Linked DNA regions of Ovis aries. The protein of the gene in region 2 purifies or fractionates together with the protein of the main gene of each other region. This does not show direct contact. Links are inferred from orthologs where the notes say so. Each region holds a gene or a part of one and is shown on either strand. Other genes may lie near its edges.

Evidence for each region. Proteins that work in one complex are often made in the same cells at the same time.
Region 1: the proteins of FAF2 (region 2) and UBL4A purify together in Homo sapiens (affinity purification with mass spectrometry; 3 studies listed by BioGRID and IntAct, with this or other methods). This does not show direct contact. The link is inferred for Ovis aries from reciprocal best matches to the Homo sapiens genes FAF2 and UBL4A.

What each region holds. Positions count from the first base shown.
Region 1 is NC_056080.1:79,953,757-79,957,990, forward strand, and holds UBL4A (ubiquitin-like protein 4A), read left to right. Parts: upstream 1-1,344; 5' UTR 1,345-1,387; coding exon 1,388-1,435; intron 1,436-1,588; coding exon 1,589-1,694; intron 1,695-1,995; coding exon 1,996-2,210; intron 2,211-2,318; coding exon 2,319-2,425; coding exon of another isoform or gene 2,426-2,429; exon of another isoform or gene 2,430-2,859; coding exon 2,860-2,983; 3' UTR 2,984-2,986; exon of another isoform or gene 2,987-3,875; coding exon of another isoform or gene 3,876-3,987; 3' UTR 3,988-4,041; downstream 4,042-4,234. Other genes in the region: SLC10A3 (P3 protein), read left to right, coding at 1-473. UniProt on the Homo sapiens protein: As part of a cytosolic protein quality control complex, the BAG6/BAT3 complex, maintains misfolded and hydrophobic patches-containing proteins in a soluble state and participates in their proper delivery to the endoplasmic reticulum or alternatively can promote their sorting to the proteasome where they undergo degradation.
Region 2 is NC_056058.1:35,638,364-35,642,533, forward strand, and holds the start of FAF2 (FAS-associated factor 2), read left to right. Parts: upstream 1-1,331; 5' UTR 1,332-1,354; coding exon 1,355-1,417; intron 1,418-4,170. UniProt on the Homo sapiens protein: Plays an important role in endoplasmic reticulum-associated degradation (ERAD) that mediates ubiquitin-dependent degradation of misfolded endoplasmic reticulum proteins.

The DNA of each region.
Region 1 (4,234 bases), on a different chromosome or scaffold from region 2:
CCAAGATCCTGGGGACCCTGCTGTTCATTGCCATCCCCATTGCAGCAGGCGTGGTAATCAAGTCCAAGCTCCCCAAGTTCTCGCAGCTGCTGCTGCATGTCATCAAGCCCTTCAGCTTTGTGCTGCTCCTGGGTGGCCTCTTCCTGGCCTACCGCATGGGGGTCTTCATCCTGGCAGGCGTCAGGCTGCCCATCGTGTTGGTGGGCTTCACAGTGCCCCTGGTCGGCCTCCTGGTGGGCTACGGCCTGGCCACATGCCTGAATCTGCCAGTGGCCCAGCGGCGGACTGTCAGCATCGAGGTTGGGGTGCAGAACAGCCTTCTGGCCTTGGCCATGCTGCAGCTGTCCCTCCGCCGCCTCCAGGCTGACTATGCCTCCCAGGCCCCTTTCCTTGTGGCACTTAGTGGCACCTCGGAGATGCTGGCCTTAGTAATTGGCCACTTTATCTATAGCAGCGTGTGCACCGTTCCCTGAGGCCCCCGGGTCAAGCTTTCACCAGGCACCCCCAGCCCCCAACCTCCATCAACTGTCCCCACCATTCTTGTGTACCAAAGGCCTTTAGTTCTCATGCACTATGCACTCAGAAAAAAAAAAAAATCCAGGCTTATTTTTTTTACTCGTTTTTTATTCTCCAGCTTTCAGTGCCAAAGAGGCCATGCTGAGTTCTGTAAGCGGGCACTGCCCAGAAAATATATTTCAATAAAACAGAAGCAAGCTTGGGTATCATGCTGTCTTTGCCCTCTGAGGCCTGCGGGTCGGGGAAGGAAGGGCGTGGTGTGGCCAGGTAGGTGTGGGCCAGGATGGAGGGCTGGCTTGGCGACACAGTGACCTCTGGCCAGATTTAGCCTTCCTCGCCCCTGCATCACCTCTGAGAGCTGTGTATCTGTTCTAGAAGAAGCAGTGGGAAGGGCAGAGGCCTGACTCCCCCACCAGATCCCAAGCTCAGTTGCTTTTCCACAGGTGAAGTAAAAAAGAGGCCGGCGGGTGGTGAAACGAGCTCGGCGGGGCCGGGTCTTCTGCAGGCTCCTGAGAGGCAGGGGATGGGATGGGCATCAGCGTTGACCTGCTCTGCCCACGGGCGGTGGCGCGCGAACTCCCGGCCCGCCGTCTCCCCGGGCCCAGCTCCCCAACTCCTTCGAGCGAGCCCGACTGGTCCCGCCACCCTTTTCCACTCTCCGCGGGCTTCTGGGCTCCGTCGCCCCGGGCTCCGCGGAGGACAGTCCAGGTTGTGGGGGGAGGGGCCGGCGGGGCGGGGCCGCGATGCCCGGCTCGCCCCTCGCGATGCTTCCGGCGGCGGCGGGCGGTTCCGGCGCGCGCCCGGGGCGGCGGCGCGCGGCGGCGGACCGTTGGGGTGCGCGCCGGCCCGAGTGGACGCCTCGGCGGCCGCCATGCAGCTGACGGTGAAGGCACTCCAGGGCCGCGAGTGCAGCCTTCAGGTAGCATCGCCGGGCTGGGTTGCGCGGTCAGCCCCGCGGGTGCGGGATCGAGCCGCGGGAAGGGACGGACCCGGCGGGCTAGCCGCCTCGGGAGAGCCACCCTCCGCGCGGGCCGCGGCTTCACCCCCCGCCCACCTTTCTCGGCCGGGACAGGTGTCGGAGGACGAGCTGGTGTCCACGCTGAAACATCTGGTCTCCGAAAAGCTGAACATCCCCGTCCGCCAACAGCGGCTGCTGTTCAAGGGCAAGGCCCTGGCAGGTAACCAGGAAGAGGGGACGCTGGGGGAGACCCGCGGGAAGCCAGGGGACGGGGCGTCCAGCCCAGGCCCGGGCAGCAGTGTAGGTGGAGGGGGCTCTGGCTAGGTGACCCCCACCCCCATCCCGGGAGTTCACCGCTGCGCTTCGCCTAGGCTCTCCGAGGGTCAGTGCGACCCTCTCTCCCTCTCTCCCTCTCTCCCTCTCTCCCTCTCTCCCTCTCTCCCTCTCTCCCTCTCTCCCTCTCTCCCTCTCTCCCTCTCTCCCTCTCTCCCTCTCTCCCTCTCCCTCTCTCTTTCGGACAGATGGGAAAAGACTCTCCGATTACAGCATCGGGCCGAATTCCAAGCTCAACCTAGTGGTCAAACCTCTGGAGAAGGTGTTGCTGGAAGAAAGCACTGCGCGGAAAACGGCCGAGGCCCCAGCCCCACCGCCCGCCGCCTGGCCGCTCATTTCCAGAATCCTGGCCCAGCACTTCAGCGCCGCCGATGCCAGCAGAGTCCTGGATCAACTCCAGAGGGTGAGAAGCGTGGCCCAGGACCTCTGCATCCTGCCCACCTGCCTCTGTCCCAGCGGGCCCCCCCGCCCCAAGCCACACCCCTGAATCCTTCTGGCTTTCTCTCTTCAGGATTATGAGCGGTCCCTGAGCCGCCTGACGCTGGATGACATTGAACGTTTGGCTGGCCGCTTCCTGCACCCCGAAGCGACTGAAGCTATGGAGAAGGGGTTCTCCAAGTAGGATTCTCGGAGTGTGGGGAGGAGCCTGGCCAGGCCACAAGCTGCATGTAGCATTAAATGTCTTCTTGTATTGCAACTTGGCTCATAATACTGCCTGGCGGGTACTCGGGTACCTGTATCTGGCTCATGTTAGGTGCCAGGCCCCACTCAAAGCTCTTGACCCAGGTTGGCTCCCACATGTTGCACAAAAGGTGAGACAGCCGAGGCTCCTAGCGGAGAAGGCAAGGAGCCAGATTCTGAGTCCAGCCAGCTTCCAGAAGTACTTCAGGGTGAGAAGGAGAAAAGGGTCGTTCAGACGGGTTCTGAGGGGTGGCCATGGACATTCCAGGTTTAGCCCACTGAGGAGAAACCCTCGAGCAATACCTTTTCCAGGCCTGGAAGGGGAAGCAGCTAGCCCCTGATGCCCAGTTCTGTCACCTCATCCTTGACAGGTCCGGCATTGGCAAGAGGTCAGGTGATGGCCAGCCTTGGGCCCCCTTAGTGACTGCAACCAGTATGCACTCAAACGGAAGGCGGGCTGGGGAGTCTAGGATGTCACCCGACTCTGGGGAGTGACACGTAGGTGCCACGTTGGTCCCCAGCCTTCAACTCTGCTCAGTGAGGGCTGTTCTTGAGACTCTCTTAGTTTTCTTTAGCTCCAAAGCCTGGGGTCAGGAGTCTGTAGGCATCCTACTCCTGTGTCCCAGATACAAACTGAGGCCAAATTCTGAGTGATGGCCAAGCGTGGCCCAGAGACGGAATGTCCTGGCCCTTAGTGTCACAGATTTTCTCTGGGCACCCCCTTCTTTTCTCCTCCCAGACACAAGCGGTCCATGACCTTTAGAGATGACAGGTGATGGTCTCGAGGTGACTCGAGCAGGCCCCTGTACCCTTTGCCCATCCTCTGCCACATGTGGACAGGGCCTCCCACTGTGCACACCACTCACTGTCTGAGAGGGAACCTGGGTGGGGGCAGAAGCTGGGGGGTGGGTCGTAGAGATCGTCTAGGCACCTGCTCCTCAGAGGAGGGCACCTGGGCCACTCTCCGGCCTGAGCCTCATAGGGTAAGTGCTGGGTCCCCAGGTGGGGAGGACAGACAGTGGCTCGAGGGCCAAAGGCTTTGAAGAGCAGGTGGAAGTCCATGGCTCCACCCAGGAGCTGGGCATGCACTGCCACAAGGTTCATGTGATAGACTTCCCTACGCTCTCATTTCTTTGTAGTCAGGAAATTTTATATTGACCTTCTCAGTCACACTAGAGGTGCATGTGAGACTTTGACCTGAAAGGAACTCTATTAGTTGAACTGCTTTTGGTTTCCCCATCGTTGATTTAACCATTACAGGACATAGGTTTAAGCAATAAAGAGAAGGTATTGGTTTGCGAAACTGAGAAGTCCAGGGGTATTGGCAGCAGATAAATGATTTCCCCAAATACCCAGTTTCTTCCTACCTCCCCTCTGCACTCTGCAGTGTCTGCTTCATCCCAGGCCTCTACCTCAGGATCAGAAGATGGCTGCCTGCAGCTTCCACCGAACCCCTCGGTCACAGCCAGCACGGAGCACCTTCCCGTCCTCTAGCGTAGCTTCCTCCTCAGCTGCCCCAACAAATAAACGCTGTCCCTTTTGGATGCTTAGAACCGGGTGCCTCCATCATTTTATCAGGGGCTTGGGTGGGCTGTGGAAGGGAGAGGGCAACTCTCAGGAAGGCCGGGTCCTCGGGGAGAGCTGACGCGTGCAGACGGGTCTTGTTGACAGACACAAGAGACAGCTGGTGAGTCTTGTGTGCCTCCCGACTGGGAGGTGATGACCCTGTGGTAGCTAGGAGCCATC
Region 2 (4,170 bases):
CAGTGGCAAAACTAGACCAGAGAGCAGGAAGTTTGCTCAAGGATGTCCGGTACTTTGCCACGTGGACACTGGAACCTGAATCCAGGTCCTCTAATCCCACTCATAGGATCTTCCTTCGGTTGCTCACAGAGAAGACGGGGCAGAGGACAGAGACCCGAGAAGGCCTCCGGCAGGCAGGGGCAGAGTCCCAAGAGGAGTGGACAGAGAGCTATGCCTACGTCTGGCAGAGCCCAGGTGGCCAAGTCCCAACAATTTTCATGAGCCCCTAATCTTCCAGCTTCTGGTTCGAAGCCGGCGAGGGGAAATGCCTCCCGCCCCTGGCTCAGTATTCGGGGGCTTTCGGAACCTCCTAGAGATGGTCAGGGGCTTTTGGAAACATCATGGCAGGAATCAAACATCAAATGACTGATATTTCGGAATGGCCACAATTTCTTAAGAAATATTCTGAAACACTGGAGATGAAAATGCTTAAAGAGCAGGCAAAATCTGTCTAGTGACATTCGGGAGTAACCAAAGCATTCGGAACCTCTTGGCTCTGCGGTCTATTCAAGGGTCGTAAGTCTGGAAGATCCTGACTTATTCAGTTCATCTCAGTTCAGTCACTCAGTCAGTCGTGTCTGACTCTTTGCTACCTCATTGACTGCAGCATGCCAGGCCTCCCTGTCCATCACCAACTCTCAGAGTTTACTCAAACTCATGTCCATTGAGTCGCTGATGCCATCCAACCATCTCATCCTCTCTCTTCCCTTTCTTCTCCTGCCTTCAATCTTTCCCAGCATCTGGGTCTTTTCCAATGAGTCAGTTCTTTGTATCAGGTGGCCAAAGTATTAAGAGTTTCAGTTTCAGCATCAATCCTTCCAGTGAATATTCAGGACTGATCTCTCCTTGCAGTCCAAGGGACTCTCAAGAGTCTTCTCCAACACCACAGTTCAAAGGCATCAATTCTTCGGCGCTCAACTTTCCTTACTCTCACTCCCACGACTACTGCAAAGACCGTAGCTTTACTAGACGGACATTTGTTGGCAAAGTAATGTCTCTGCTTTTTAATATGCTGTCTAGGTTGGTCATAACTTTTCTTTCAAGGATCTATCCTGCCTTCGCCTGACTCCAAAAGGCGACTTGTCCACACAGTTCCTCGACTATTTTCGGAAGTATTCGGGGTCGGCACGAGAGAAGGCGCCCTCTGGCGGCGGAAATTATCACCATTTCCACCCCTCCCCAGCCCCTGGGTTGGGCCGGCACGCGCAGACGCAGTTGAGCGCCGGCGGCCGTTCAGACCGGATGTGGTTGCTGCTGAGGTCACTTCCGGCGGGTGACGGTGCGGACGGGTCAGAAGCGTAGAGGCGGCGGCAAAATGGCGGCGCCTGAGGAGCGGGATCTAACCCAGGAGCAGACAGAGAAGCTGCTGCAGTTTCAGGTAGCAGCGAGCACTCGGTGCAGCGAATGTTGCCGCGGGCTAGGGAGTGGGTCCCTAGAGGAGCCCAGAACCCTGCTCAGATTGGGCCCGAGATTCTTCTCAGACCAGCAGAAGGTCCCCCTCCCCCCCAGCCGCCAACTGCCCTGCTAGGTGCCCCCGGCCTCCGAACCTCTGTCCCCGGCCTTCCAGGAATGGCTGCGGCCAGACCTGCTCTCGCTCTCATCAGAGGGTCAGCTCTCCAAGTTCTCCTTTAGCAGTGCCCGTCCTCAGCCATCCTTTCCAGCCAGGTTACCGGTTGGACCCTCTCCGCCCACGACTGTGGATCCGCTGAGATGCTTAATCCCCACCGTGGAGTTGGCCTCGTTTCGGGTCTCTGTTAGAGCCTTTCAGCAACTTCCCATACCATTTCTACAAACATTTATTGATGGCTTTTTAGGTGCCAGGTCGTGTGTTGGGCGCTTTGGTAGGGTGGGGGCAGAAATGGCCCCCACCCTAAAGGTGTGGGAGGACACCTCGTATTGAAACAATGCCGCGTTGTAAATGTCATCTGTGCCTTCTGAAGGGGTTTATTTCCTGGAGCTGATTCTTGGACTCACGCGCTTGGCTCTGCTTGAGGAGGATGGATGGTACACTTGCTGCAGTCTGCCTCGTTTTAGTGGATGTGTAGGTTAAAAACTTTTGACACTAAACACCTTATCCCAGAGCTGGAGAATCCGGTTGGAGGAAACTTAGGTTACCTTGGCTCTGTGTTACCCTAGTGGGTACCAGTTTATTTCTGTGGTACATATCTTAAGTGTTTACCCCCTAAGGACGTTGTGGAGATCACAGTGAGTTTATGGATGTTTAAAAGGGCTTCATAAACAGTAAACTTCTTTCAAACAGTATTGCAACTGTTAATCCTTATTTAACTTAGGGTAGAATTAAAGTTAGTGGTACACTTATTTCCTAATATAAACTGTGCTAAGTATTCATTAATTCCACGGTATTTACCAAGAACTGTAGTGCTCAGGCAATAACACCAGATGGTTAGAACACCATTTATTGAGTGTGGTGTTGTAAGTACTTTGCTAAAACATTTGGCACACTCATGTATTTTATACAAGAATTTAATTGTTTAATACAACAATTGTATTTAATACAATGGCCCTATGAGATTCATAATAGTTACAGTCTCTATAAAGATGAGGGATATGAGGCTTAAGAAGTAACAGGCCTGGTTTACACAACTAGTAGGTTATGGTGTCAGATTTAAAGCCGGGTTCCTTGCATTTCCTCAGCATTTCCTGCGTTCTTGAGGTGATGCTATGCAACACGTGGGAGTAGCAGTATACAGCTGAAAGTGGAATGCCAGTGCACTAATACTTTTTTTTTTCCTTTTTGTAAGTTCTAGCTCTTCTGTGGTTTCCTTGATTTCACTGCAGTTAATTTTGAAGTGTTTTCTCTTAAATCAAGCAGTGGGTTGGAAGCATATAGATTGGAAAATACTGTCATAGAAGTAGTTGACATTTGATTGGAGTTCTGAGTAGAGAAATGGATGACACAGCAGATTAGAATTAGAATGAATAAAGAGCGGACAACTAGCTTCCGCTTCCTGGTAGACCACTAATTTCAGAGTTTTCTTTAACTTTGGCAGATCATTTTATTCCTTACAACTCTTGAGGGATAAGCCCCCATATGGTTTTAAAGTCTAATGAGGTGATGTGAACCATAAGTCGTGAAGTACTAAGTCTGGTCTTGGAAGAACATGAATATGGGGTAGCATTTCTGAGATAAAGTGCATGGGAACCTCTGTTTTTGTCTTCACTGGATATTTCTATCAATAAGAGAGGTGAGTAGCAAGTTAGAATTGTATTAAGATTGCTTTATTTAATAAGGCAAGTACATTTTACATTTGTGTGTTCTCTAAGCAATTGCTTGGATTAGATTCACCATCCGGATTACCATTAACACTCCGAAATTTACTAGGTGTCAAGCATTATACCAGGTATTTGATGTACATCAGCTCTTTTAAACCTTTTCATAACACTGTAAGGTGTTAACCCCGATTCAGTGTATTAACGAAGAAACAGGTTCTGTGAGGCCAGGTAATTTGCTGAAGTAGTAAGTGACAGAGATTTAGAAATCCATACCCATAGCCATCTTGCCTATAAGCTATTGGAGAAACCAGATATATACGTAAATAATGGATATTTTTCAGTATATTATTGCTCATAAGTGTAATAAACATAGTGGTATAAACAAAGGAAATTTAGGGAATAATAGTATTGATGAAGGTGGGAGGGGTAAAGAAGATGGCTTAGTAGTTACCATTAAGTTTCTACTGTGCCTCAGGCATGGTGCTAAACAGTTTATAATGATTATGCTTAATTCTCACAATAGCCTTGTAAAGGTGCCACAGGTGATATGCCTCCTAGGTAAGGAAATGGGTCTTTTGAAGTATTTTCTCCAGATAATTAAGCTATTAAGCAGTGGGGATGGAATTAGAAATCTAGTGGGTCTGGTCTGAACTTAAAGGACTCCTTCCACTCTTCTTTGCCACTTTGAAGAACAAATGAAATGATTGGAGGTGGGCAGAAACATGTTCAGAGCTGAGATATGACTGTGAAATAATGTGGAATGTGTTTGTTGTGATGGATTTGGAGAATTGGAAGTTGAAAATAAGACTGGAAAGGTAAATTAGAGCCAGATTTTGGAACCTTTTCAGAGCAATGTTCAGTGGTTTAAAGCTTAATATGTAGGCATGAGGACCCACC